4 linked regions of the Elephas maximus indicus genome follow. The protein of the gene in region 3 interacts with the protein of the main gene of each other region in a pairwise test. Links are inferred from orthologs where the notes say so. Each region holds a gene or a part of one and is shown on either strand. Other genes may lie near its edges. The genes, in order: SLC15A4, CD81, GLP1R and interferon-induced transmembrane protein 3-like.

Region 1 (7,104 bases), on a different chromosome or scaffold from region 3:
ACCCAACCACACCTATGCCGTCCCATCACAGGATGCACAGAAATCCACTCCATCCTGGTGGGCTGGTTACAGTGCAGACTAAGTAATCAGACCCGGAATTAAACCCCTGGCTTGACCACTCGCTAGCTATGTGACAATGATCTCACTCTTTGCCTGTTTCCCCATCTATAAAATGGACATAAAGATTCACGTGAAGTGCGAATGAAATCAAGTGTGTAAAACATGTGCCATGCTGCAGGAAAACAGTTAAGAATTCAATACATCAGGCAAGTGTTACTCTCATCGTCACTGTAAGGCTTCTCTCTGCTGTGTGGCTGGGAGAGCCTCCCAAAGTTTCCATAAAGCTTGGGATCTGATTCAAAGGTCAGGTTTTGAATACTGGCTCAGTCACCTACTAGCTGTGTAACTTTAGGCACGTTACTTAACCTCTCAAGCCTCAGTTTCCTCATCTGTAAAATGGGCACAATAACGCAACAATCAAGGTGTTATGTAGACTAATAATAAAGCACGCAGCACAGTGCCTGGTACTCAGTGAGCCCGCAGTAAATGTTATCTAGGGCCAGGTAACAACATAGTTACTTAGTACAAAAAACGAGGAGTCACCTCTGATGCACTTAGTACAAAAAACGAGGAGTCACCTCTGATGCCTCTTTCCCTACTACGCACATAGAATCCAAGAGCAATTCCTGCCCATCCTACCTCGGTAAATGATCCCAAATCCATCTACTTCACTCCATGTCCACTGCCTCCATTCTAAGTCCAAGTCTCTCTCTCTCTCACCTGGCCAGTTTTAACAGACTCCTACCTGGTATCCCTGCTGTCATCATTTTCCATACAAATGTACAACGGACGCTGGCAAACTTTTCTGTAAAGGGTCAAATAGAATTATTTTAAGGTCTGTCAATTCTGCTACCGTATTTGAAGGCACCCACAGTAAAAACATTTAACAAAACAGGGATGGGAAAGGCTGTGTTCCAATACAACTAATGGAGTTCGGAAGGCACATTTCATGTAATATTAGCTTGTTATGAAATACTCTTGTGATTCTTTTTCCCACTTAACAACATAAGAACCGCTCTCAGCTTGTGGGCCCTACAAAAACAGGAAGTAAAACAGATTTGGCCCGGGCCCACCGGCTAGTTTCCCTACCGGCTCTACACTTAGCCAAACTCTTAGGAACAGTTCGACCCTATAAAGGCTTCCTACAATACACAAAACACTTGACTCTTTATCCCACCTTACATATTCTGACCCCTGCCTAACAATCCTCTTTCCAGTTATCTTAAAACCGAGAGCAGCAAAAACTGGGACCTCCCTTCTCTTCCTGGCCCCAGGTACTTTGCACTTGCTGATTCCCCAGTTCGGAATCCCTCCGGTCCCAACTCAAAAGCCCCCTCCATAGTGGCCAGTCCTTCATTTAAATCCATCAATTCCTGTACATCACCCTAGGTTGGCTGCTTCCCAGCACCTATCACAACCAGTCGTTACTGCTTTTCCACTTACTTGTTCCCTTGTTTCTCACTAGAAAGCAGCTGCATGAGAGCAGAGGACACTGTCTTGTTCTGCCTATTAAGAGCAGCCTTCGGGTTTTGGCGACCCTCGGGGGCTGGCACAGGGCAGCCTTCGGGTTTTGGCGACCCTCGGGGACTGGCACAGGGCACCCGTCGGGGTTGGGCGACCCGCGGGGGCTGGCACTGGGCAGCCGTCGGGGTATGGCGACCAGTGGGGGCTGGCACTGGGCAACCGTCGGGGTGGGGTGACCAGTGGGGGCTGGCACTGGGCAGCCGTCGGGGTTGGGCGACCGGCGGGGGCTGGCACAGGGCAGCTGTCGGGGTTTGCCACCCGCAGGAGCTGGCACAGGGCAGCCGTCGGGGTTGGGCGGCCCTCGGGGGCTGGCACAGGGCACCCGTCGGGGTTGGACGACCCGCGGGGGCTGGCACTGGGCAGCCGTCGGGGTATGGCGACCAGTGGGGGCTGGCACTGGGCAACCGTCGGGGTGGGGTGACCAGTGGGGGCTGGCACTGGGCAGCCGTCGGGGTTGGGCGACCGGCGGGGGCTGGCACAGGGCAGCTGTCGGGGTTTGCCACCCGCAGGAGCTGGCACAGGGCAGCCGTCGGGGTTGGGCGGCCCTCGGGGGCTGGCACAGGGCAGTCGTCGGGGTTGGGCGGTCCTCGGGGGCTGGCACAGGGCAGCCGTCGGGGTTGGGCGGCCCTCGGGGGCTGGCACAGGGCAGTCGTCGGGGTTGGGCGACCCTCGGGGGCTGGCACTGGGCAGCCGTCGGGGTTGGGCGACCCTCGGGGGCTGGCACAGGGCAGCCGTCGGGGTTGGGCGGCCCTCGGGGGCTGGCACTGGGCAGCCGTCGGGGTTGGGCGGCCCTCGGGGGCTGGCGCAGCGCTTGCTGCCCGGTGGGCAGGGCCGGGCCGGCGGGGCGCGCGCCGGCTCACCTGGTCGGCGCCGAAGGGCGTGATGTTGGCCTTGACGGTGCCCACGCCCAGGCCCACCAGCACCAGCCCCGCGAAGGTGGCGGCGGCGCAGCGGCGCTCGGGGCTGTCGTGGCAGGCGGCGCTGGCGTTGCGGACGGGCGCCGAGCAGTTCTCCAGCAGCGCGGCCCGCAGGGGCCCGCAGAGCGCGGCGCGCGTGGAGGGCGCGGCCACCAGCGGGAAGGCCAGCATGCCCAGCAGGTAGAGCGCCAGGCTGAGCACGATGGCGCCCGCCTTGCCGAGCAGCGCGTCGGCCAGCCAGCCGCCGAACGGCGACACCAGGTAGGTGACGCCCATGAAGAGCAGCAGCGCCTGGCTGGCCTGCGCGCCCTCCCAGGAGAACGGCGCGCCGTTCAGGAACAGCACCAGGTTGGCCGTGACGCCGTAGAAGGCCGCGCGCTCCAGCAGCTCCGTCAGCAGCACGGCGCCGCACGCCGCGCGCCGGCCCGCGAACGCCGACGACGCCCGCCGCGCGCCGTGGCTCCCCGAGCCCAGCAGCGGCGTCCGCTCGCCGGAGCCCGCCATCTTCGCCGCCGCCGGCCGGGCCTCCGCGAGCCCACAGCCACCGCCCTTCTCGCGAGACCTCTCGGGCGCCCTCCCAGTGGGCGGGCTCGCCGTCGCTCAGCCGGTCGGGAACTTCCGGTTCCGCCCCGGAAGCCTGGAGAGGCCGCGGCGCTGCTTCCGGAGGGGGCGGAAGTGAGGCCGCGGCCGTGACGTCCCCTCGGTGGGTGTTTTTCAAACGAAGTCGGAGCCTGATACCCCGCTCTTGCAAGCCCTTACAGGCTGCCAGTGGACCCCTAGGACCCTGACGCCTGCAACGGCCTCGAAGCTCTGCCTGCCCTCCAGGCTGATTTCCCGGGGCTGGCCCCCTTCCCGCTGTGCCCCAGGATGTCCTAGGTCAAGGTTTATCAACCTCAGCACTAGTGACATGTTGGGCCCCATAGTTGTTTGTGGTGGGGACTGTCTTGTGCGTTGTAGGACGTTTGGCAGCATCACTGTCCCGACCCGCTAGGTGCCAGTACCACCTCCTCTGCCCCAGCCCCACTTGTGGCAGCCATAAATGTCTCCAGGAATACTAGATGTCCCCTGCGGACAAAACCGTCCCCTTTTGAGAACCACTGTCCTAGGACAAGCCAAGTTGGAGACCCTTTCAGACCTTCACAGAGCACCCGCTGTCACAAAGCTGGTATGTCACCCTCTGTCAGCTCCAGACTCAAATGTGGCCTCCTTAGGGTGACACTTCTTGACCACAGCATCCAGAGTAGGTCCCGCCTGATCACATCCCCTGGTTTTGGTTACCCTACAGCACCTGTTACAGTTTTATGTTTATTTTTTGTATCCCCCCTGGTTCTGTGTGTTCCCTGGTCCATGGACACAGGGTTCTTAGGTGTCTCATTCCTTGTCATGTCCCCAGTGCCTGGGATGGTGCCTGGCATGTGCTAAAGTGGAGTGTCTCCCCAAAGTGGACACCACCGCAATCCAAGGATTCCATTAGTTCAAATGAGTAAGACCCTTTCCCATTACTTGCTCCATCCTTACCTCCAGCTAAGACCAGGAGGGAACCATTACCTAGGGAAGCGGGGCTTGCCCTGAAGTCCTCTGATAAGGTCAGTCCTGCCAATAAGGTTTGAAGTAGCGTGATTATCTTAAAAAAAAAAAAAAAAAAGTCTGACTATGGACTGATGCCTGACATGGTGCTACGTAAATTAATATGTGATAATTTTCTAATGAGAGGATAATTGAGTGCCAGAACTCGACCTTCCCCACCCTGTCTTTTTTTTTTTTTTTTTTTTTTTTTATAATAACTTTTATTAAGCTTCAAGTGAACGTTTACAAATCCAATCAGTCTGTCACATATAAGTTTACATACATCTCACTCCCTACTCCCACTTACTCTCCCCGTCTTGAGTCAGCCCTTTCAGTCTCTCCTTTCTTGACCATTTTGCCGGCTTCCCTCTCTCTCTATCCTCCCATCCCCCCTCCAGACAAGAGTTGCCAACACAATCTCAAGTGTACACCTGATATAATTAGCTCACTCTTCATCAGCGTCTCTCTCCCACCCGCTGACCAGTCCCTTTCATGTCTGATGAGTTGTCTTCGGGGATGGTTCCTGTCCTGTGTCAACAGAAGGTCTGGAGAGCATGACCGCCGGGATTCCTCCAGTCTCAGTCAGACCATTAAGTTTGGTCTTCATATGAGAATTTGGGGTCTGCATCCCACTGCTCTCCTGCTCCCTCAGGGGTCCTCTGCTGAGCTCCCTGTCAGGGCAGTCATCGATTGTGGCCGGGCACCAACTAGTTCTTCTGGTCTCAGGATGATGTAGGTCTCTGGTTCATGTGGCCCTTTCTGTCTCTTGGGCTCTTAGTTGTCATGTGGGCTTGGTGTTCTTCATTTTCCTTTGCTCCAGGTGGGTTGAGACCAATTGCTGCATCTTAGATGGCTGCTTGTTAGCATTTAAGACCCCAGACGCCACATTTCAAAGTGGGATGCAGAATGATTTCATAATAGAATTATTTTGCCAATTGACTTAGAAGTCCCCGCAAACCATGTTCCCCAGACCCCCGCGCTTGCTCCGCTGAGCTTTGAAGCATTCATTTTATCCCGGAAACTTCTTTGCTTTTGGTCCAGTCCAATTGAGCTGACCTTCCATGTATTGAGTGTTGTCTTTCCCTTCACCTAAAGCAGTTCTTATCTACTGATTAATCAATAAAAAAACCCTCTCCCACCCTCCCTCCCTCCCCCCCTCGTAACCACAAAAGTATGTGTTCTTCTCAGGTTTACTATTTCTCAAGATCTTATAATAGTGGTCTTATACAGTATTTGTCCTTTTGCCTCTGACTCATTTCGCTCAGCATAATGCCTTCCAGGTTCCTCCATGTTATGAAATGTTTCAGAGATTCGTCACTGTTCTTTATCGATGCGTAGTATTCCATTGTGTGAATATACCACAATTTATTTACCCATTCATCCGTTGATGGACACCTTGGTTGCTTCCAACTTTTTGCTATTGTAAACAGAGCTGCAATAAACATGGGTGTGCATATATCTGTTTGTATGAAGGCTCTTGTATCTCTAGGGTATATTCCGAGGAGTGGGATTTCTGGGTTGTATGGTAGTTCTATTTCTAACTGTTTAAGATAACGCCAGATAGATTTCCAAAGTGGTTGTACCATTTTACATTCCCACCAGCAGTGTATGAGAGTTCCAATCTCTCCGCAGCCTCTCCAACATTTATTATTTTGTGTTTTTTGGATTAATGCCAGCCTTGCTGGTGTGAGATGGAATCTCATCATAGTTTTAATTTGCATTTCTCTAATGGCTAATGATCGAGAGCATTTTCTCATGTATCTGTTGGCTGCCTGAATATCTTCTTTAGAGAAATGTGTGTTCATATCCTTTGCCCACTTCTTGATTGGGTTGTTTGTCTTTTTGTGGTTGAGTTTTGACAGAATCATGTAGATTTTAGAGATCAGGCGCTGGTCGGAGATGTCATAGCTGAAAATTCTTTCCCAATCTGTAGGTGGTCTTTTTACTCTTTTGGTGAAGTCTTTAGATGAGCATAGGTGTTTGATTTTTAGGAGCTCCCAGTTATCGGGTTTCTCTTCATCATTTTTGGTAATGTTTTGTATTCTGTTTATACCATGTATTAGGGCTCCTAGGGTTGTCCCAGTTTTTTCTTCCATGATCTTTATCGTTTTAGTCTTTATGTTTAGGTCTTTGATCCACTTGGAGTTAGTTTTTGTGCATGGTGTGAGGTATGGGTCCTGTTTCATTTTTTTGCAAATGGATATCCAGTTATGCCAGCACCATTTGTTAAAAAGGCTGTCTTTTCCCCAGTTAATTGACACTGGTCCTTTGTCAAATATCAGCTGCTCATACGTGGATGGATCTATGTCTGGGTTCTCAATTCTGTTCCATTGGTCTATGTGTCTGTTGTTGTACCAATACCAGGCTGTTTTGACTACTGTGGCTGTATAATAGGTTCTGAAGTCAGGTAAGGTGAGGCCTCCCACTTTCTTCTTCTTTTTCAGTAGTGCTTTGCTTATCCGGGGCTTCTTTCCCTTCCATATGAAATTGGTGATTTGTTTCTCTATCCCCTTAAAATATGACATTGGAATTTGGATCGGAAGTGCGTTAAATGTATAGATGGCTTTTGGTAGAATAGACATTTTTACTATGTTAAGTCTTCCTATCCATGAGCAAGGTATGTTTTTCCACTTAAGTATGTCCTTTTGAATTTCTTGTAGTAGAGCTTTGTAGTTTTCTTTGTATAGGTCTTTTACATCCTTGGTAAGATTTATTCCTAAGTATCTTATCTTCTTGGGGGCTACCGTGAATGGTATTGATTTGGTTATTTCCTCTTCGGTGTTCTTTTTGTTGATGTAGAGGAATCCAAGTGATTTTTGTATGTTTATTTTATAACCTGAGACTCTGCCAAACTCTTCTATTAGTTTCAGTAGTTTTCTGGAGGATTCCTTAGGGTTTTCTGTGTATATAATCATGTCATCTGCAAATAGTGATAACTTTACTTCTTCCTTGCCAATCCGGATACCTTTTATTTCTTTGTCTAGCCTGATTGCCCTGGCTAAGACTTCCAACACGATGTTGAATAAGAGCGGTGATA
Region 2 (7,918 bases), on a different chromosome or scaffold from region 3:
CACGGACGTGGGGTGCAGGCAGTTGACAGCGCGTGGATACAGGGGTGCAGGTGGGTGGGAAAGCACGGATGTGTGGTGCAGGCAGTTGACAGCACATGGATACAGGGGTGCAGGCTGGTGGGATGTAACAGATGTGGGGTGCAGGCGGGCAGGTCTTTCTGCAGCAGCAAAGGAGAAGCATGCCAGTCCTTTATCTGCCTCCCCCCGTGTGGGAACTTCTCTGGAAAAGGACCTCAGCCGCTTTTCCTGGCCCCCCACGACCCTAGTGCTCCCGGAACGCTGACCCACTAGGCAGTCAGAACCACTCACCTGCAGGGCGCTTCCTAGACTGATGGGAAGGCTCTCCCTTGCCATAGTCCCTGCCGGGCCACCATGCCCAGACCCGTCTCCCAAGCCCGCTCCGTTCCAAGCCCCTCGCTCAGCACTTATCATATTAGTTAATCCCCCAACAAACCCCGGTGGGGGTCCCTGGGACCTCACTCTAGAGGGTGAGGCAGCCGAGGAACAGACCCCGCCCAGGCTGACTCTGAGGAGCCCACCCTTGGCTTTGATGCAGAGGACTCGGGGGGGCGGGGTGCAGGGCACTCAGGGTGGTGTTGGCAGGGTGGGGGGGTGACTGTGGGCCGACACAGCTCTCAATGCTCTGAGGGAGTGGAGCAGCTAGGAGCCTTGGAAAGTCTCCTTGAGTCACAACAAAGAAAGAAGGGCACCCGCTGCCTGGGAAACCACCACACTCACCCAGGCCACGATCCTGGGGCAGGCCTGTCTGGGGATCAGCCACAGAGGGGCTTATCCAGGGTGATGCCCAGCCTGGCCCACTCCCCTCAGACTCCCCAGGAACAAAAACCCACTTCTGAGAAGCCCCCTCCTCTGCCTACCCTTTCCTTCCCTACCAGGGTCATAGTCCGGCTCACACAGGGGCCAGCTGAGGGGCATAAGGGCCTCAGTTTACCCATCGCCCACTACCCTGGACCACTGCTGGTTCCTACAAGGCTCCTGGGGCCGTCCTGGGCAGGGTAAGCACAAGCAGCCTCACTGCTCCCCGCCCTGGGGAGAGGCCCTGGGCTCCAGGAACCCCAGGGTACCCTCCCGAGGTCAGCTCCCGGCCCCAGCAGGCTGGATGTGACCCTCACTCCCAGCTGGGAGTGAGTCCAGCCTCTGCCCTCCCCTGCGCCCCTCCCAAATACCTCCCTGAAGCAAACCCACGCCAGCCAGCCAGACAGACGGGAAGCCGATGTCTCAGCCCAGTCTGCTCCAGGGGCCGTTTTACAACTTTACTGCCCCTGCCTGGTGGCGCAGTGGTTAAGTGCTACAGCTGCTAACCAAAAGCTCAGCAGCTTGAATCCACCAGGTCCTCCTTGGAAACTCTATGAGGCAGTTCTACTCTGTCCTATAGGGTGGCTATGAGTCAGAATCACCTTGACGGCACTGGGTTTGGTTTCCTTTGGTCACTGCCTGAGCTTGAGAATCACAGTTCACCCGGGACACTGTCCCGCCATAAGGGTGGGTCAGACTGGGACGGCAAAGCAGCTAGAAAGGGTACCAGAGAGGTGTCACTGCCAAGGAGAATGTCCGAGGGTAGAATGGAGCTCCTGGCACGCACCCACAGACCTTCCAGTCCAGCAAGGAATCTCCACCTCCTCCCCAATTCCAAGACTGGCCAGAAATGGAAACAAAGAAAAAGACACAACCGGTCACTCCCCAGCAGTTACCACGAAGATCAGGAGAAGGCTGCTCTGGGGCAGGGAGAGGACCCGGGAGACCCTCCACACCGGGGCTGCAGTCCAGTGACCATGGGGGCCACCCTTCCCGAAGTGGAGATCCCAGCCAGCACTCGGCACCGACGCCGGGGATCAAGCCCCGAGCTTGGAGCCGCCAGGTCTTTCGGATACCCCCTGCCCTGTGCCAACTCTTATGGCCAGGCCCACGCCTCTCAAAGCTTCCCAGCCCCTGGAATCCAAGTGTGTGGTGGGGGCTGGGGTGCGCGGGGTCGGCGCCCTAGAGCTGGGCCAAGACGGTGCGGGCCCCCTACACACGGGCATGCCCGGGCCAGTGCGCTTCCGGTCAGCCCTCTGCCGGGGCCGACCCGAGACTTAGGAGGGGGACTGCGGAGAGGAGGATGGACTGGGCTAGGGGCGGAGCGCGATGCCGGCCCCCAGGGCTCCTACCCAGCAAGCGCTCCCTCCCCACCACCCATTTAGAGGCGGCGGCCCGATGAGCTCATGGGGCGGAGCGCCAGGAGCCCCGCCCCCGAACCCCCCTTCCGTCCGGCGCGGCAGGGTGGCCCCGGCTCCCGCCCCGAGCGGGGCCGTCCCCGGGTGAAGACGGCCCGGACCCCTCCCCTATGGGTTGCCGGCTCCAACCGCCCAGGTCGCCAGCACAGCGGCCCCCAAGCCCTGGGGCTTTGAGTCCCGGACGCCCAAAGGCTGGCGCCCTGAAACCCGGCCCTCGGCCCGGCCCGCCGTTAGGGGGCGCAGTGGCCCCGAGCGACCCCCTCGCCGCGGCCTACCGACCCCGGGCCCCCACCCGCCCCGACGCCGACAGGTGTCTGCAACTTGGCGGCCCGCAGCGGCGGCCCCGCGGGCTGCGCCCTTTGGCCAGGCCTACCGAGGCTCCCGGGCCTGCGGGGTTGGCGCGCACCCCGGTCCCCGGCCCACCGCGCCCCGGCCCCCCGCGCCCCAACCTCCTGCGCCCCGGCCCCTAGCCGCTCACCCAGAAGACGAAATTGAAGACGAAGAGCAGGTACTTGATGCACTTGGTGCAGCCCTCCACCCCCATGGCGGCGCGGCTGGCGGCCTGCGGGCGCTGACGGCGGTGCGGCGGGGGCTGGGCGGTCGGCGAGGGCCTGGCGGGCGCGGGGCGCGGGGCGCGGGTCGGGGCGCGGGGCGCACTAGGCGCGGAGGCACGGGGCCTGGGGGCTCGGGGGCGTTGGGAAGCCTGGCCGGGTGCGCGCTGGGGTCGTCTCCGCCGCCGCTGCGCGCTCGCTCGCTCTCTGGCCGGGCGCGCGCCCCGCGCCGCGCCGCTTATAGGACACCGTGGCCCCGCCCCAGCCCCGCCCCCGCGGGTCCAGCTCCGGGCCCCTCCGCCAGGCCTCGCCCCCCCGCGCCCCGCCGCCGGAGCCCGATCCCCGCCCCGCCGCGCTGCGTGCCCCGGGGCCTGCGCGGTGCTGTCTGCCTGGGCGCCCCTGGAAGGGCGGCGGGGCGGGAGCGCACGCTGGGTCGCGTCCCCGGCCACTCCCCCGTCCCTTGCACGCAGACCTCGGGGTTTCAGACCTCGGTGCGGCGGATAGGCGCCGCCGAGCCGTTGTTCCCTCCGAGCCCCGGGGGACCGCTGCCAGGCTGCGCCTGAGGACAGGCATGCAACGTCCGCCGAAGAGCGCAGCCGGGGGCCTGGGGAGGACCCTTCCCATCCTGGCGCCTTGGACAATCGAGGAAGGCTCCGAGAAGGAGGTGATGGCGACTATGCACAGAGCGCAGCGCTCTTAGTTCACAATCGCTTTCGGGGCCGGACCCGGGGTGGGCGGTGAGGCCCGAGTCAGTGGGTCGCCGGCCGGAAGGGCCAAAACGCCACACTTTTAGGCTGCCACGCGTTTGCCCCTTACAAAGTGGAGTTGCAGACAGCTGTTAGGGGAGTCTTTCTTTGAAAGGTTACTCACGTATCTAGGAGGCCCGAGCGACCTGTGGGAGAACCCCCAAGTGTTTTGAGGTTCATGTCCATCCTGGGTGGTATGGATACCCCTCAGGGGTGCCAGCCCCGCACTTCCCGCTGCGTCCCTGGAGGCGCGGGGCCAACCCCTGCTTCTTGCTTTGGGCTATTGCAGAAATGGAGGGATGACTCAGGGAGCCAGGGATGCTTCCTCCCCAGGTCGCGCGCGCGGTAGGTGACACCAGATGAAGTTCTCACGGGTCTACACCAGGAAACCCGTGGTGAGGGCAGTGGGGCCAGGCCTGGAGAAGCAGACCTCACTGTGCCTCCCCCTGCCACGCGCGCCGGCAGTCGGTTCATTTCACCGAACACCATCCATCACAGCGCTGCCCGTAGAACTTTCCGGATGATGGTGGTGTTCCGTATCTGCGGTAACCCAGGATATGTGACTCCTGAGCACTTGAAACGTGGCGAGTGCAACCGAGGAACTGAATTTTAAATTGCATTTAATTGTAAGTTTAAATAGCCAGGGATGCCCAGTGGCTGCCGCATCCCTCCACAGAGCCGCTCTCTCTTGTTGCTTGCCGTCCTAAGACCTTTCCAGTTCTCTTGGTAAAAAACGAATTTGTTTTGGCTTCGTGCTTATATAAGAGCTACCAGGACAAAGAGGTCATACTTTTATGTTTGTGCATAGCTAAGTGATACTGTACTAAAAGTATCTAAACCTTCACCAGGGCTTACTAGGATTTTTTTCATTTAAAGGAGACAGAACAGGCCTCAAGTGTAAGGAAACCCATCTAGAAGGCCTGGGCACCCTTATCTTCCATCAGCTTCCCGTGGTCCCCAGGGGACATTTCCTGTCAAAGAGGTGGGCTTCGTCCTTAGCAGAAGGCCCTCCCGAGGCCTCTGAGGAAGGAAGCATAGGAGACATTGACCCTCCCTCCCCTCAGGAAAGGGAGTGACAGCACTGTGCCTACTGCCCCGGGCCCACTATGCCCCAAGCAGGTTGTCTTTGGCCAGCTCCTCTCTCCTCTCCAGCCATGTATCACATGTTTAGTGGGGGCCTGCTGTGTGCCAGGCCATGTGCCAGCACTGGCTGTGGACAGACGGGCAGCCAGGACCCCTTCCCTCAAGGACCAGAGGCCCTGGTGCCAGAGACAGCTGTCCCCTTCACTGACCTTGTCAGTGCTGGTGGGGGGGGGGGGATAGCAGGGAATCCCCAGGTGCTTGGTGGAGGCTTAAGGGGGCACCAGTATGGGGCCTGCAGTTGGAATGAGCCAACCATGCAGAACATGGGGGCGGAGGGAGAGGGACAGAAATTAGGTCAGTGGTCTGGAGTAGAGGGAGTGAGGGGAAGAGGGCTAGAAGCAGTGGTTGGGGCAGATAGGTGACATCCGGACCTGGCAGAAGGCCAGGGTGGGGCTGCCTTCGATTCTGACCTGTAGTGGGAGCGATTAGGGGTTCCGGTGGGAGAGTCACATGCCTGGCATTCTCTGAGATCAATTGGATGGACATGTGTGGCAGCCAGCTGGGAGGCCCAAAGAAGGCGGCTGGGCCCACAGTGGAGCCTATGCTCAGGACACCTGGCCTCACGGGGAAAGGGCTACGCGATGGAAGCGGCCACCTTGTGGTCCTGGCACACTGTGGCTTTCCCGGAGGAACCAACCACCTCCTGTCCTTGCCAAGTGGCTCAAGTGCCCTGACCAGTGGCCCACCAGCTTGACCAGTGTCTTAGTTATCAGTTGTTGTTGTTGTTAGGTGCCCTCCAGTAGGTTCTGACTCATAGTGACCCTTGAGCCCATTGTTGCAGCCACTGTGTCACTCCATCTCCTTGAGGGTCTTCCTCTTTTCCGATGACCCTCTACTTTACCAAACATGATGTCCTTCTCCAGGGACTGGTCTCTCCTGGTAACATGTCCAAAGTACGTGAGAAAAAGCCTTGCCATTCTCGCTTCCAAGGCGCACTCTGGCTGTACTTCTTCCAAGACAGACTTGTTCGTTCTTCTGGCAGTCCATGGTGTATTCAATATTCTTCACCAACACCATAACGCAAAGGCATCAATCCTTCTTCGGTCTTCCTTAATCATTGTCCAGCTTTTGCATTCAAATCAGGTGGTTGAAAATATCATGGCTTGGGTCAGGTGCACCTTAGTCCTCACAGTGACACCGTAGAGACCTCTTTTGCAGCAGCAGTTTGCCCAACGCAATACATCGCTTGATTTCCTGACTGCTGCTTCTGTGGTTGTTGATTGTGGATCCAAGTAAAATGAAATCCTTAACAACCTCAATCTTTTCTCCATTTATCATGATGTTGCTTATTGGTGCCGTTGTGAGAATTTTTGATTTGTGTTGCGGCGTAATCGATACCGAAGGCTGTGGTCTCTGATCTTCATCAGTAAGTGCTTCGAGTCCTCTTTTCAACAACCAAGGTTGTGTCATCTGCATATCCCAGGTTATTAGTGAGTCTTCCTCCAATTCCGATACCCCATTCTTCTTCATGTAGTCCAGCTTCTCGAATGATTTGCTCAGCATACAGACTGAATAAGTGAAAGAATACAACCCTGACGCACACCTTTCCTGACTGTAAACCACGCAGTATCTCCTTGTTCTGTTTGAACGACTGCCCCTTGGTCTATGCAGGTTCCTCATGAGCACAATTAAGCGCTTTGAAATTCCCATTCTTCCCAGGGTTATCTGTAATCAGTCACGGTGCACACAACTGAATGCCTGTGCGTAGCCAATAACTTAAAGATGTAAACTATAAACTCTAAAGCAACCCCCAAAATAAGAAAGCAAAGAGTTATAGTTAATGTTAGGGATTGAATTGTGTCCCCAAAACAAGTGTTGTAAATCCTAACCTGTGTGCCTGTGGGTATAATCCCATTTGGGAATGGGTTGTCTTTGTTACGTTAATGAGAAAGGATTAGTGTAGGGTGTGTCTTGAGTCAATATCTTACAAGATATAAGAAGAGCAAATTACAGAAGCAAGCAGAGATGGGAGAAGAGAAATGCTGAGCAACATGAAGACTGCCCAGGAGCAGAAGCTCAGAAGAGACAAGGACTTTCCTCCACAGCCGACAGAGAGATAAAGCCTTCCCCCAGAACCACACCCTGAATTCAGACTTCTAGCTTCCAAAATGTCAGGAAATACGTTTGTTTGTTAAAGCCATCCACTTGTGGTAAAACAAGATCCATCTCGACGCTACCCTCAAGAAACACACTTCAAATGTAAAGACACAAATATGATAAAAATAAGAGGATGCTATGGTGGGAGCTTCCGAAATGGCCGCAATTATCCTGGTATTTATGCTCAAGGCTGGGAAGAGCTTGGGGTGGTTGAGGCGTTTGCCTCAGTCGTGAAATTTAAGCAGGCATCAAAAAACTGCGTAATCGAGATAAGTAATACTTTTTTTTATAGTTTATTTTTTGTTGTGGTTGAGAATATACACAGCAGAACACATACCAGTTCAAGGATTTCTACATGTAAAATTTGGTGACACTGATTACATTCTTCAAGTTGTGTGACCATTCTCACCCTCCTTTTCCAGGTTAACATTATTAACATCAACTCATTACCCCTTTATCCGATCAAGATAAATAATATTTTAATGTAATTCTTTTAAAAGTTCAAATTGATGCAAAAACTTTATGAAGACTGAAATATCAAGATTTTAAATAAAGGCAGGGTTACTAAGAGTGCCGTGCCAAACCCTACTGGAACCTGAGACCAAGGGGCAGAAATCAACCTTGTGTGTGACCCTGATCCAGAAACCCATTGCCAGGGAGTTGGTTCTGATTCATAGAGACCCTGTAGGACAGAGTACAACTGACCCATAGGGTTTCCAAGGAGCGGCTGGTGGATTCGAATTGCCGACCTTTTGCTTAGCAGCTGGGCCCTTAACCACTTCGCCACCAGGCCCCACCCTCACCCAGAGGCACCAGTTAAGCTGCGCCCAGACTCCTGACCCACAGCTACTGTGAGGAAATAAATACTTGCTGTTTCTAAGCCGCTGAATTTTGGAGTACAACAAAAGCTGCTATACCTAGTAAGTGAGTTTAGCAAGGCTGCAGGACCAAAGCTCAATATACAAAATCAATTGTGTTTCTGTGTACTAGCAACAATCAGAAACTGAACTAAAAAATGCCATTCACGGTAACATCAAAATGTGAAATAATTAGACATAAATACGGCAAAAGATGTACAAAACACTGGTAAAAAAATTTAAAAAGACTTAAATAAACAGAGAGACATAATGCGTTCATGGATTGGAAG
Region 3 (8,003 bases):
ACTGCCCCCAAGTGAAAGTTTCTGTTTTGCCCACTAACCAGTCTTCCTACTAAGGGACAGAGGAGGATTCTGCAGGCCATCCCTACTGGGACAGGGCCTTGCAGCTTCTTTTCCTCAGATGGACACATCAAGTACTCCCAGACCCATTTCTGAAGACAATCTAAAACCCATATCTTCTTAGTGGAAACCCATGGTGCCACACCCTAGGCCCACAGGAGAGTCTCTGGGCGTGGGTGTAAGGAGCAGGAACCCAGCGCTCTAGCCCTGAGGTGGAAGGAGCCACAGGGAGGCGCTGTCCGGTCAGGCTGGCAGAGCTGGTGCCTGCGCCCTCTGTGGTGCCACAGACTCAGCGGCTCCTCGGGAGCTTCAGCACCAGCTCTGGGGGCAGGTGAACCTGGAATGAATGCCAGCTCTGCTCCATGAGCTATGTCCTTTACCTCCCTGAACCTCAGTCTCCTCGTCCATAAAATGAGCATAATACTTGCCTTTATTGGAAGGACTTGATGAGATCAGTGCACACTAAGCAACCAGGAGCACCTGGTTCACAGTGGGGGCCCAGGAAGTGGTAGCTCTGGTTGTCATTTTCACGGTTATTGTGAGTGGGTTAGCAGCTGGTATTCCATCCCATTCAGACCTCTGTTCTTAGGGAGTTCATCCTCTGCTCTGCTCCAGGGGCCCTGAGCGAAAGGCCCTGGTAAGTGTGGGGAAAGGAGGTGAGTGTACTCCCAAGTATATGCTCTGTCCTCTCTCATAACCCATTCTTCTTCCAGTAAGTTTGTGAGCACCTACGATGAGCCAGACACTTCACCAAACACTTGGATTGATAACGTTTCAGTTGCAGCAAACATTCACTGAGCCCCTGCTATGCGCCTCATGTATAGCCACCACCCATCTGTCCATGGTGGCTCCTGTGTTGCTGTGATGCCAAACAGGTTTCAGCAGGGCTTCCAGACTAAGAAAGACTAGGAAGAAAGGCTTGGTGATCTACGTCTAAAAATCCCTATGGATCACAGCAGTCCACTCTGCAGCTGATCATAAGGGTGGCTCAGGCCTGGGCAGCACTTTGTTCCATTATGCATGGGCTGACTCGCTGGTAGCTAACAACAACCACACTACGTGCCATGGTCTGTGCTGATGCTGGATATCCAAAGATGAGCAAGGAAACAGCCCTTCCCTCAAGGAGCTCACAATCTAACGAGGGATGCTATAACTAGGACAGTGAGCAACAGTGACACAACAGTGACAGTATGTGCTTCAATTTATTCTATTTGTTATTTTAAACAAGAGTCACTAAGAACGGAGCACCTACTATGTGCCAAGCACTGCACCGGGTGCCTTCAGTTAGCAGCCGAACACGTTAACTGTTTGCACTACCCAGGGAAGAAGACGGATATAATCTATGGTAGTGTGTGCTGAGATGAAAGTAGAGTCAGAGAAAATGCAGAGGCATTTGGACACCCAGGTATTAAAAAGAAAATTGCTGGAGCAACAGAGGAAGAAGGAGAGTCAGGAATAGGAGAAGGAAATGGAATGTGTAGCTAACTGCCTCCGTGAACAACTGCTTCCTCTGCCATGACACCAGAAGAACTGGATGGTGCCCAGCTACCATTACTTAATGTTTTGATCAAAGATTCTATAGAAGAATCCTGATCAAAAGGGGGGGGGGAATGCAGAACAGAATTTGAAATTCTCATGGAATCCAGATATTCTGGAGCCATGGAGACTGGATGAACCCCTGAAACTATTGCCCTGAGATAATCTTTAAACTTTAAATCGAAAATATCCCCTGAAGTCTTCTTAAAATGAAACAGTAGTTTAGCTTAACTAGTAAAGAATCTCTGCCTTGAGCATTACACTCTTTTAAGATCTATCTATATGAGATCAAATTGACAATAGCAACTTGAAAGACTAGATAGGAACCTTATAGGGCAGTGAGTTTATGTCAGCAGGGGAGGAACAACTCAGAAAAGGAAGGTGAATATGGCTGTACAACTTGAAGAATGTAATCAATGTCACCGAATTGTACAGGTACAAACTGTTGGTGTATGTTCTGCTGTGTATGTTATCAAAAACAACAAAACTGCATAAATTATACATATATATGTACATATACATACATACATATACATATATGTATACACACGTATATATGGGAAAGTTGAGTAGATGCTTCTAGGCTCAGAGGTCCAGCCCCTCAGTCCTTGGATCCTTTCATATGCCCACTGTCTTTGGCTGGGCTTTCCTAAAAAAAGACAAATATTTAAGGATAAGTGGTTTATTTTTATTTGGGAGGTGACCCCAGAAGGACTAGTCCCCTACTGGTGGGAAAGTGAGCCGGGAAAGTGAGCCAGGAAAGGGAAGGAAGCCAACACTGGGTGCGTCATTGAGCAGATTACCACTATGGGCAACTGAGCTCAGTTGCAGTCAGGACCTCTGGGACACCACTTGGTACCCACCTCTGAGTTGTCCAATCCAAGGGAGGAGGACCTAGGATATTTATCAACTCCTGTCCTTCGTTGGTTGAGAGCTGCTCATAGGGGTGTTATTTCCCAGAACATCAGGCATGCCCAGCATTGGCTGAACCCAAGCAAGCTCCTCTGAGTCAGAGAAAGCCCCCAGGCAGAGAGAAATAGTGAGTGCTAAGGGTTGGGACTTCAACAGCATCTGCTCCACCCATGCTTACCACAGTTGTAATATAACTGGCTCACATAATTAAATTATGTGTTTAATGCCTCTCTCTTGCATGAGACTGTAATTCCCATGGGGGCAGGGACTGCATCACCCTATATCCCCAGGACCTAGCTCAGTGTCTGGCACATGGCAGGTGTTCAATGAATATTATTGAATAAATGTAATTTGGAGGTTGATAAATTCAGTGGTAAAGGCCCCAGCTCTGAATACCTTCTCCAGCCCCTTCTCTTCGTTTGCTCTCTGGAATCCTCTCTTCTCTGCCCACCCCAGCCCTGGTATAGCAGAGCCTGTAAGTTGTTTCCCAAAATCCACATTTGTGCCTTCTTCCAGCGTAATAAAAGGAGTCCCTGGGTGGCGCAAACAGTTAAGCACTCAATTACCAGCCAAAAGTTTGGCGATTCAAACCTACCCAGAGGCACCTCAGAAGACAGGCCTGGCAATCTGCTTCTGAAAGATCACAGCCTTGAAAACCCTGTGGAGCAGTTCTGCTCTACACACATGAGGTCGCCATAAGTCAGAATTGACTTGATGGCAACTAACAACAACAACAACAGTAATGAAAGTCCCAACATTTAACCTTGCTCAGGCTGCCTGGAATAAAGTATACATTTCCCAGCCTCCTTTGCAGCTAGGAATGCCCATGGGACCAAGTTCTTACCGGTGGAAGTGGAATTGGTGGCTGCCACTTTCAGGCACCTCCTCTTTCTTCCTTCCTGCTGGCTGGAACTTAGATGTAATGACTGGGACTGGAGCAGTCACTCTGGGTCATTAGGTGGAAGCCTTGGACCAAGAGAAGGGCAGGGCAACCAGCTAGAAAAGCCGTGGACCCTGATGATCAATGAGTGGCCACTCCAATCCTAGGCTGAGTCTCTGGGCTTGCTTTATAGGAGAGCACTTGGTTACACATTTGGGTGTTTGGTTTGGTTTGGTTTTGTCAGTCGAAGCTGAACAACCTCATTCCAAGTGGTACACTGAAGGTGACTGTCACACTAACTTCTGGGTAGGGGAGGGAATACATGACACCCAGGCAATGGGGGTGGAGCTCCCTGGAGAGGTGAAGGATCCTTCTCACAAAAAGGAAGCCTGTGGCTTCTCTCATTGGCTGTCTCCCTCACTGGTCTCAAACAGGTCCAGCCTCCCTCAGGGCTTTGAGATGTTCTGTTTTCTCCCTGAGGGGCAGCTACTCTCATAGACTCCCTTTCCCTGGGACTGTTCCAGACATACCCATGGCAGGTCCGGGGCTGAGTGCGCCTGCTACCCTATTGGAACTGTGTTCTTTGCAGGGGGGATCCCCTTTTACCACCTCCACTTTTCAAGGGCATTAGCAAACTCAGTGCCTTCTTAGAACTCCCTCCCAATAAGCCCAGCGATAAGAAGAACTTGAGAGTGGCCCGAGCACCTACTCTGTCCTGCACTGTGAGGGTGGGTGTAGAAAGGAAGGCGGGTAAAATGCAAAGCCCCCATAAAGCAGGGAGACAAAGACACAGGAGGCACAGAGAACAGCCACTCAGGTTAGAAGACGCAGTTATAAGACACAAGGGCTGTAAGAGTCTGGTGGTTCAGAGCTGGGTGCGTGGGAGCTGCAAGGGGTGGGATGTGGGAGAGGCTTAGAGAAAGGCCTCCTTCATCCTCCTCCTGCAATTCCGAAAGTTCCCAGTTGAAGGGGAAGTTCTCGACCCTCCCCACCTCCAGGCTCCATTGATCCATTTGTTGTTGCCTCCCTATCTTTCCTCCTTGGCTGTGACAGAGCCTGGGAGAAGCGGGGGGGGGGGGGTGGGGGGCGCATCGTTGAGACGAAGGTAACCCCACTGGGTGGGTCATTCGTCACACGAAGCTCTGGAAATAACTTTCCTAGAGGGGTCCAACGGGTTGTGTGACCTTGGACAAGTCCCATCTGCTCCTCTGAGATACCCTGAGGTTAGGGCAGACTGGGAGGAGGTCCGGGGGGGGGCCGGTGCGGGTGCGGATGCGGATACGGGCTAGCCTTGTGGCCGAAACCCGGCGAAGCGCACCGCCCGCGCTCAGAGCTGGCGGCCCGGCTCCAGCGCTTTATAAACCCGAGCGGCGCACGTCCGGAGCGCAGTGCCGGGACACCTTGCTGGCCCGGGACCGGCCTTGGGGAGCGGCAGGGGTGGCCAAGGGGCCAGGCCGGGCGGGGCGGGAGGCAGCCGGGAGACCCCGCCCGGCCCCTCCCGCGGGCGGGGCGGCCCCGCGCCGGCTCCTCCCCCTGCTCCCGCCGCCCGCCCGCACGGGATCAGTCGCCGCGCGCGGTTCCGCAGGTGGCACCGATGGCCCAGTCCTGAGCGCCCCGCCATGGCCGGCACCCCCGGCCCGCTCCGCCTCGCACTTCTGCTGCTCGGGGCGGTGGGCAGGGCCGGCCCCCGCCCCCAGGTGAGCCCTGCGGACCCTGGGGGGGACAGGGGAGAGGGAGGTGGCGCTGCGGGCTGCAGGCGCAGTGTCCTGGCAGGGGCGGCCAGGACTTGAGCGAAACTCCGCGACCGCAGGCGGAGGGAGCCAAAAGCCTCTGGGGTGGGGGTGGTGGGAAGGGGCTGGAGAGTCGGATACGTGGACTGAGAGGCCGAGGTGAGGGGCTTGGACCGAGGACGACTCCCCCAGCCCGGGTGAGGCGCCCACTCCTCGCCTCCCGGGCCCCCCTCTCAGGCACCAGCTGCCCGCGGTCGCCGGCGCTGACTTCTGTGGCAGGTCTTCGTCCTCCCCAAACCACTTTCCCAACTCCGCCTTCCTCTTCGTAAACCGGTGCCGGCGGCTCTGGCACAGCCCAGCGCTGGACCCCTGCACCTGAGACGCCCCTCCTGTATGCCCTGGGCCTCCTCCGCAGTGCCTCCCACCCCCACCCCTGCCCTGCGGTCAGAGACTCAGAGAAAGCTCTGGGCAGTAGAGAGGGCGCGTGGGTAGAGACAGTGCACTGGTCCCCTTCACCAGCCCCCCAGCACAGCCTTTGACTCATAGCCCCGGGGACCTTACGGTGGCAGCTTGTTGTCCTTCCCTGTGACCTCCCAGATGGGACTTGCATCTCGTCATCACCGCCCCCCCCACAACCCCTGCAGCAAACACGCGGGAGGCTCTGCACTCTTCCAGAAGCATCCAGGCTCTTGTCACACACCTGGCGGGCCCCCCACTTTCCCTAGTTGGCAGCACACACTGGAGGGCATACTGGGGGCTCACAGGCACCTTGGCCTCATTGCCATGCCATCAGAGAGCAGGCCACAGGTGCACCCCTTCTCCTGCCTTTCTAGACTCCTGGGCTAGAGGCAGCACAGGGTCAGCCTGTGTCTGGGGAGGGAGCTTGTCCAAAGATGCTGTGAGATGCTGGAGCAGAGGGGAGGTACAGGCTTGGGTGGCCTATTCCGTTGCAAGGAACTGTCTCCTTCCGTCACCTCCTCGTGCCTCCCCCTGTTACCCATTGCGGTGAAGTCAATTCTGATGCACAATGACCCTATAGGACCAAGTATAACTGCCCCACAGGGTTTCTAAGGCTGTAAATCTTTACGGAAGCAGACTGCCACATCTTTCTTCTGGGGAGCTGCTGATGGGTTCAAACCACCAACCTTTTGGTTTGCAGCTAAGCACTTTTACCACTGCACCACCAGGGCTCCTTCCTGCCTCCCCCAGACCTGAAGAATTGAGATCTTTGGGAAGTGGACCTGTAATAGGCCTTGAAATTTGTCCCAGAACAGATGGGAGGCAGGATGGTGGGCCATTGCCTTGGTCTTGATGAAGGCGGACTCTACCCCTGGCCAAAAATGCACATGTGGACAGATGTCCCTCTCAGCCAGGGTGCCAACACACTTTCAGTCCCCCAAATTCTTGTGCAGACTCATTCTCTCCCATCTTTTCCCCCATCCTAGTCCCAACAGACACCCTCCCTCCCCTGGCACCTTCTCTCCCCACCTTCCAACCTTGGCTTTCCACTGGAAGCTTGTGTGGTTGGGATTTTTTGGGGGCCAGGACTGCAGAGCCATTACCACATTCTTTCTCACCTTTACCTCCTTTTTGTTTTGTTTTTATAGGTTGGGACAGGAAGGGGTTGGGGGTGCGGGGGCGGGGGGGGTGCCCTGCTTCCTGGTCCCATACTGCTGCAGGCCAAGTCTGCAGATCTGGTTTGGATTAAGGGAAGAGGAAGCATTCTGCAGGCAGCCTGTCAGTTCTTCCCAAAGTTCTTTTTTCCGGAGGTTTCAGGCTCCTTGAGCCTCTCCTTTCTTCTGACCCCCCTCATTCCTCAGCCCTGGGCTTAGGACAGAAGCTTAGAATATCAGGGCATAACAGGAAGGACTAGGGTGACAGAGGAGGGAATGCGGGGACAGTATCTGGGCAGAGAGGGCGGAGCATTGAGGGGCTGCGCATGTTGGGAGGCAATGAGCATTTCTGGCCACCGCGAGAGACCTGAGCAGCAGGCACGTTTGAGGTTTGGCAGCAGTAATTATTACAAAACCTCATGCATGCATATAAGGTTTTTTAAAAAGTAGTGACTTTTACATTTTATTTTTTGTCCATGAAGCCGGCAGGACTAGGGTTACTCCTTCCACATCACTGATGGGAGGACAAAATCTCAGAAAAAGGGTTCCTTATACAAGGTGGTGCAGCAATTTAGGAGCAGGAGGAGAAAGGGGTGCAGGGCTAGGGTCTTGGCATAATACCCTTATATTCAGGTGGATTAGGAGGGACTGAGAGTGAGCTGCTCACTGTGAGGTCTGGCAAGACTGGAAGCAGCTTCCCTGGGGGCAGGAAGATGGCCTCTAAAGAGTGTGACCTCAGCCACTCCATTGTGGCTGAGAAGAGCTACTTCCCCACCCTGTTTCCTACCTCCCCAACACCCCTGTGAGGAAGTGGACCTACGGAGGAGACAGGCAAACCTCTGACACTCAAGTTAGAACCAGTCACAGTTGGGCTCATGTATCAGCTCTGCTATTAGCTGGTAATCTTGGGTGGGACACTTGACCACCCTTAGCCTCAGTTTCCTCATCTGTAAATAGGGATCACAAGCTCTGTCACAGAGAGTTGTGGAGAAGACTGAAATGCTGGCACTGTGAAACGGCACCTTTAGTCACTTGAGTGCCTCCCAACTTGCGCAGCCCCTCAATGCTCCACCCTCTCTGCCCAGATTTGTCCTCAGAAACCTGGAAATGTTCTTCAGGGCTGCAGAAATAGGATGTGCAGTGGGCTGTCAGAGGTCCCATGCTTCTGCATGCTAGTGTGTGGTGGATGGAGCCCAGGCTGTGCAATGGTTAGTGTGGACTTTGTTCTGAACCGGGCTCCCTCCCGGACATGGAGCCAGGATGGGGGCCAGGGCA
Region 4 (5,911 bases), on a different chromosome or scaffold from region 3:
CTAGGGTCCAGGTGCACCCCAGAGGGCTGACCGCTGGACCTAGGCATCCCAGAGTGCCTGAGTAGGGTCCTCTGCACCCTGTGTGAGGCTGAGGGTGCCTCCTAGTACCGATCCCCCTGTAAGAAGCCGCCCTGCGTCAGGGCTCAGACCTCAGGGTCAGAGGGGCCCCCACTCCAGCCCAGCTGTGGCCCCACCTGAGGCCAGAACCAGCCAGGCCTGAGGGTGTGTCCTGCTCTCTGCTCTGCCTGGTAGTGGGACAAGGTGAGATGACCCTCAGCTGAGGAGCAGACTGGTGACTGAGAGCAGGACCCTCTCCCCGGGCGATATCACAGCACCATTGCACACCAAAAACCAAAACCAAACCCGTTGCTGTCGAGTCGATTCTGACTCATAGTGACCCTATAGGACAGAGTAGAACTGCCCCATAGTTTCTAAGGAACGCCTGGTAGATTCGAACCGCTGACCTTTAGGTTAGCAGCTGTAGCACTTAACCACCATGACACCAGGGTTTCCCCGTTACGCACAGAGGAACTTTACTGAATTCGTTTATAGACAGATCATCGAGTGCAAACTGCTTTAGACAAGAGTTGGGGTGGGGTGTCAACAGGCGGGAAAGCAGGACCAGCTGTGGAGCCTTGGGGGGCTCAGGCAGCAGCAATGGGCAGCGGTCAGTGGCCCCCCTGTGCCTGCCTGAGCTTTGAGATTGCATCGAGGCTTATCATGGCTCCACTGGCCACGAGAGCAATGAACCCGATGGTCACCAGGACACTGAAGAGCAGGGCACAAATGTTCAGGCACTTGGCTGTGGAGGCGTAGCTCTGGGCCCCTATCATGTCGCCCACCATCTTCCGGTCCCTAGACTGAAGGAGAGGAAACAATGAGGGCACCTGAAGCTCTGTCCCCAGTTCAGCCTGCACTGGCCCTCACCCACATCTGAGAGCCCCCCCCCCCTGCCCATTCCATGGAGCCCTAGCAGGACAGTTTCTTTCCCTGCCTGCTGGGGCAGAGACCTCCTCACAATCCCCCAGTCCTTTCAGGGAGCCTTGGGCTTGTCTTCCCTCTGCTGTGCCCCAGTGCCACCCTTCCTTCCTTCCCCCCACCCCAGCCCCAGCCTGGAGCCCTAACCCAAGGGTGAGGGAGGGATGAACTTCTCTGTTAACTCTGACAAACATTTTTTGGGGAAGTTGTGGGAACATGGACTGATAAGGACATCCTCAAGCACCCTCTGGGGTGTCATTGCTGATCTACGCTGTGAAAGACCCCCCTCCCAAGACACAGACACTCACAAGGAAGCACACATAAAATACACGCGCAAGAGAGACACACACAAAAATATTAACGCAGGGACACACACAGGTCCTTTCTCCCCGCCAGGCCCATCTGGGGGGAGCGCACTCCAAGTGCTCACTCCGCCCTGGTGAAGAATCGCCCAGGTGCCCGGCACACACATGTGCACATGTGTAAACACGGACACACACACGTGCACATGCATACACATGGACACACACACATCCACAAAGGCACACACAAGAACACACACAAACACCCTTGGTAGCCCCAGAACCAAGTGGGCAGAGGGCACCCCTAGCGCCCAAGTGCACCCTCCTGGAGAATCCCCTGGTGTCTGGCACACACACACGCACCTTCACGGAGTAGGCGAAGGCCACAAACCCTAGGCAGAAGCAGTTTATACAGATCGTGTTGAAGAGGGACCAGACGATATGATCCGGCACCGAGGTATCACTGCGGATGTTGATCACGGTGGATGTCACGGGCGCCACGGGGCCAGGGGGCACTGAGCAGTGGGGAGCCCCCAACATTTCCACCTCATGTTCCTCTTTGAGCATCTCGTAGGCTGGAGAGAGGCTGGTACCTGCGCGAGTGAAGAAGTGTTGAGAAGTGTGGTTCATGGTTTCCTGAGACGTCCAGCAGTAGATGAGGGTCTTGCGTGAGAGGTTTAGCTTCCTGGCCTCACTTCTCTCAGTAGTTTCGATTTCTCAGAAGTTTCTATTTCCAGGCTGAAGAATTGGGGTGGCCATGGGCCAAGGAGGCGGGACATATTTCAGAGGCTCGAATTACTTCAAGCCTGAGAGGAGGGGAGGGGGAGGGAGAGTTAGGGCGCTGTCCTGGAAGGGTTTCTGTGAGTGTTAAAATGAAGCAATACATTTAAAGTACAGCCAAAATGTGCCTTGGAAGCAAGAATGGTCAGACTTCCTCTCACACACTTTGGGCATGTTATCAAGAGGGGCCAGTCCCTGGAAAAGGACATCATGCTTGGTAAGGGGAAAAAAAGGAAGACCCATAAGGACAAGAATTGACATAGTGGCGGCAACCGTGGGCTCAAGCATAACAACTATTGTGAGGCTGGAGCAGGACCAGGCAGTGTTTCATTCTGTTGTACGTAGGGTCTCTGTGGGTCAGAATTGACTCAACAGCACCTAACAACAACAGGACCATGCATTGCACAGGGCAAGTTATCAATAAATGTTTATTATTATTACAAAGAAGTTCTTGGGTGACCCAAATGTTTACGCGCTCTACTACTAGCTGAAAGGTTGGCAATTGAAAATCACCCAGAGGTGCCTTGGAAGAAAGGCCTGGTGATCTGCTCCTGTAAAGATTAAAAAAAAACAGCCTTGAAAACCCTGTGGAGCACAATCCTACCCTGATACAAGTTGATTCAGAATCAACTTGATGGTAACTAATATTGACAACAACAATGAATGGAGCCTGTGTTAGCCTTGTTGATGTACACTGAGGAAGGAGCCTCCTTCTAAAATCAGGAAAGGTCCTTCTTGCCAACATGTGTCTTGGTTTGGAGGTGGATGGGGCAGGGTGGTAGGTGGGAAGAGGAGCAACCAAGTGCACATTCATCAGTGGATGGAGGACCTTAGGTAGTTTGAAGAGACCTTTTAATTTTCTGGAATTGAGTCCTCCTCTCCCATGTTCAGCCTGTTTGTTTCCCATTTCTGCTTCCCATTTTGGTGAGGGTCTTTGTATAAATTACAGGTTATCTGACCTCACTCATGAAGAACTAGAAAGAACCTGGAGAAACTCAGGCAAGTTTCTGAAGCTCAATTTTCCCATTTCCAAGATGAGTCAATTCTGTCCTCTACTATCTTTACTATTGTTACCCGATTAGGGTCCATGCCCTGGAGCAGTCAAGCCAATGAAACATACTTCAAGCCAGAAAGAGTGAGATGAATACATCACCAGGGACCCAGCAGCAACACAGGCTGTCTCTATGGAGTCCCAAAGAGCAGTTTTACATTAGAGCTTATAGAGAATCTTACAAGGGTTACAGGTGTCTTCGTTGTCCCCTGTCAGACATTTCTTTACTAGGCTGAAGACATACATATCGGATACCTGGGCTCCAACTTTCCTGTGGGGGTTGTATGCCACAGGTAGTCTAGATAGAACAAAAGGTTATTTGCATCAGTTTAAAACACAGAACAAAGTCATTAACATTTGGTGGAAACAAAGTCATTAACAGAGGTATGTGAGGAGGCAGGCAGAGTTAGAACAACTTATAGGTTTATCATGGCCTTGGTTATGTTAAGCTCTCAGCTGCCCATTTTGAAAAAGGAGAAAACATGCTGGGTGATATTGGGGTCAACACTATCTTCATCCCTAAAGTACTCCTCATGGGCTTAAGAACTGACAACAGAGGATAGCGAGTTGGGAGGCTCTCTGGGCTGCTGTGGTTTCCCTTTTCCTGAATTTCCACGAGTATCCCCGTGGAGCACAGGTTGTCTTTTCTACCTGGATCCAGCATTTAGGGATATGGTCGCACACTGTAGTTTTAATTACTCCGTGCATCGTCCTTCCCCTCTTCAGGATTCATGGGTTTTCACTCTTCTGTCCCAGGTCTTAGATTCTGGTCCACCTTATAAGAACTCTGTAGTATCTATGCTTAATTCTCATAATCACAAAGATTTGACCTAAAAAAAAAAAAAAAAACCGACCTACATAACCACAATGTCTTTATTTATTTTTTTTAATTGTGCTTTAGGTGAAAGTTTACAGCTCACGTTAACTTCTCATATAAAAATTTACACAGGTATTGTTATGTGACACTGGTTGCAATCCCTATAACGTGACAGCACACTTCCCCTTTCCACCTCAGGTTTCCTGTCCCTTCCTGCCTTCTCATTCTTCCTCCGGACATGAGCTACCCATTTTGTCTCATGTATCTGCTTTAACTAAGACGCACACTCTTTGTGAGCATTATTTTATGTTTTATAGTACAGTCTAATCTTGTCTGAAGACTGAGTTTTGGGAATGATTTTAGTTCTGAGTTAACAGAGCGTCTGGGGGCCATGACTTCGGGGGTGCCTCCAGTCTCAGTCAGACCATTAAGTCTGGTCCTTTTATGTGAATTTGAGTTCTGCTCTACACGTTTCTCCTGCTCTGTCAGGGACTCTGTTGTGTTCCCTGTCAGGATAGTCATTGCTGGTAGCTGGGCACCATCTAGTTCTTCTGGTCTCAGGCTGATGGAGTCTCTGGTTTATGTGGCCCTTTTGTCTCTTGGGCTAATATTTTCCTTGTGTCTTTGGTGTTCTTCACTCTCCTTTGCTCCAAGTGGGTTGGGACCAACTGATGCATCTTAGATGGCCACTATAACCACAATATCTTTATTCCACCACCAGCATCAGGAAGGTCCCATGTATACTTGCATCTGATCCTGTGCAGGTACCATCCAGGGACTTCTCTTAAGTAGACTTCCTTTGTAATAACAATAAATATTTATTGATAACTTGCCTTATGCCAGGCATGGTCTACATACTTTGATATATTATTAGTCCGTATCATTTTCAGTATTTATGAGCTCAGAGACAAAGTGATCTAAGGTCATGGGTCTAAGCTGGAAATGATCCTGTACAAAGGAGACATTTGGCAATAACTGGAGATACGTTTTGGAGCCCTGGTGGTGCCGTGGTTAAGAGCTTGGCTGCTAACCAAAAGGCTGACAGTTTGAATCCACCAGCTGCTCTTTGGAAACCCTATGGGGGCAGTTCTACTCCATCCTGTAGGGTCCCATGCAGCAGAATTGACTTGATGGCAAAGGGTTTGGAAATATTTTTCATTGCCACGACTTGGTGATGAGGTTCAGGGTGTAGCAAGGGTAACTAGTGCCCAGAGGCAATCTCTAAGTTGGGCCCCCCAATTTCAAGATGAACAGACATTGACAGCTGTAACATGTCAGCAGAAACACTTCCCTGCTTCTTGTCCAACTGTCTCAGTCAGGTGCCTTTGATACTCTTGGTACCTTGGAATGTCACTCCAGGCCTCATCTGGTACCCCCTGGGACTTCCACCTGGGTGCAAGGGCCCCTCTCTGCCCCTCCCCACCCACGCTTCAGCCCAGCTCCCACACATCTGAACCCTCAGCTGGTGATTCAGTCCTGGATGGGGGCCTGCTGCTCTGTTGGGTGAGGGTGAGCCTGGCAGTGTGCACCCTGGGTTGCATAAATGGCTATGCATGGGACTCCTAGCTGAAAGATTGGAGGTTGGAAGCCACCCAAAGATGCCTCAGAAGAAAGGCCTTGTGATCTACTTCTGAAGGCTGCAGCCTTGAAAACCCTATGGAGCACAGTTCTACTCTGCACACATGAGGTCACCATGAGTTGGAATAGACTCAGTGACAACAAGAACAACAACACTAGGTAGGCTGCTTGCATCTTATGAGTAGAGCTGTTGCTCAACCCCCTACCCAATGCAAGAGAGCCCCCCACAACTAAGCATTCTCTTGCTCCAATTTGACAGTTGTGCCAAGGTTGAGAAACACTCGTTTGTTTTACCACCGATGAGCCAAGAATCACCTAGATCTGTTCTAAAAACTTTGTAAAGTATTATTTTGACTATTAGAGAAATTTATTATGTCTCATAGTAAGCATGCATTATTGTGTGTG

Evidence for each region.
Region 1: the proteins of GLP1R (region 3) and SLC15A4 interact in a protein complementation assay, tested with the Homo sapiens proteins (2 studies listed by BioGRID). The link is inferred for Elephas maximus indicus from reciprocal best matches to the Homo sapiens genes GLP1R and SLC15A4.
Region 2: the proteins of GLP1R (region 3) and CD81 interact in a protein complementation assay, tested with the Homo sapiens proteins (2 studies listed by BioGRID). The link is inferred for Elephas maximus indicus from reciprocal best matches to the Homo sapiens genes GLP1R and CD81.
Region 4: the proteins of GLP1R (region 3) and interferon-induced transmembrane protein 3-like interact in a protein complementation assay, tested with the Homo sapiens proteins (2 studies listed by BioGRID). The link is inferred for Elephas maximus indicus from reciprocal best matches to the Homo sapiens genes GLP1R and IFITM3.

What each region holds. Positions count from the first base shown.
Region 1 is NC_064840.1:3,145,305-3,152,408, reverse strand, and holds the start of SLC15A4 (solute carrier family 15 member 4), read right to left. Parts: upstream 3,006-7,104; coding exon 2,445-3,005; intron 1-2,444. UniProt on the Homo sapiens protein: Proton-coupled amino-acid transporter that mediates the transmembrane transport of L-histidine and some di- and tripeptides from inside the lysosome to the cytosol, and plays a key role in innate immune response.
Region 2 is NC_064825.1:135,506,750-135,514,667, forward strand, and holds the start of CD81 (CD81 antigen), read right to left. Parts: upstream 3,003-7,918; 5' UTR 2,779-3,002; coding exon 2,713-2,778; intron 2,138-2,712; exon of another isoform or gene 433-2,137; coding exon of another isoform or gene 1-432. Other genes in the region: uncharacterized protein LOC126081186, read right to left, coding at 1-432. UniProt on the Homo sapiens protein: Structural component of specialized membrane microdomains known as tetraspanin-enriched microdomains (TERMs), which act as platforms for receptor clustering and signaling.
Region 3 is NC_064819.1:102,896,962-102,904,964, forward strand, and holds the start of GLP1R (glucagon-like peptide 1 receptor), read left to right. Parts: upstream 1-4,988; 5' UTR 4,989-5,004; coding exon 5,005-5,082; intron 5,083-8,003.
Region 4 is NC_064846.1:178,013,262-178,019,172, reverse strand, and holds interferon-induced transmembrane protein 3-like, read right to left. Parts: upstream 2,000-5,911; 5' UTR 1,911-1,999; coding exon 1,644-1,910; intron 861-1,643; coding exon 669-860; 3' UTR 509-668; downstream 1-508.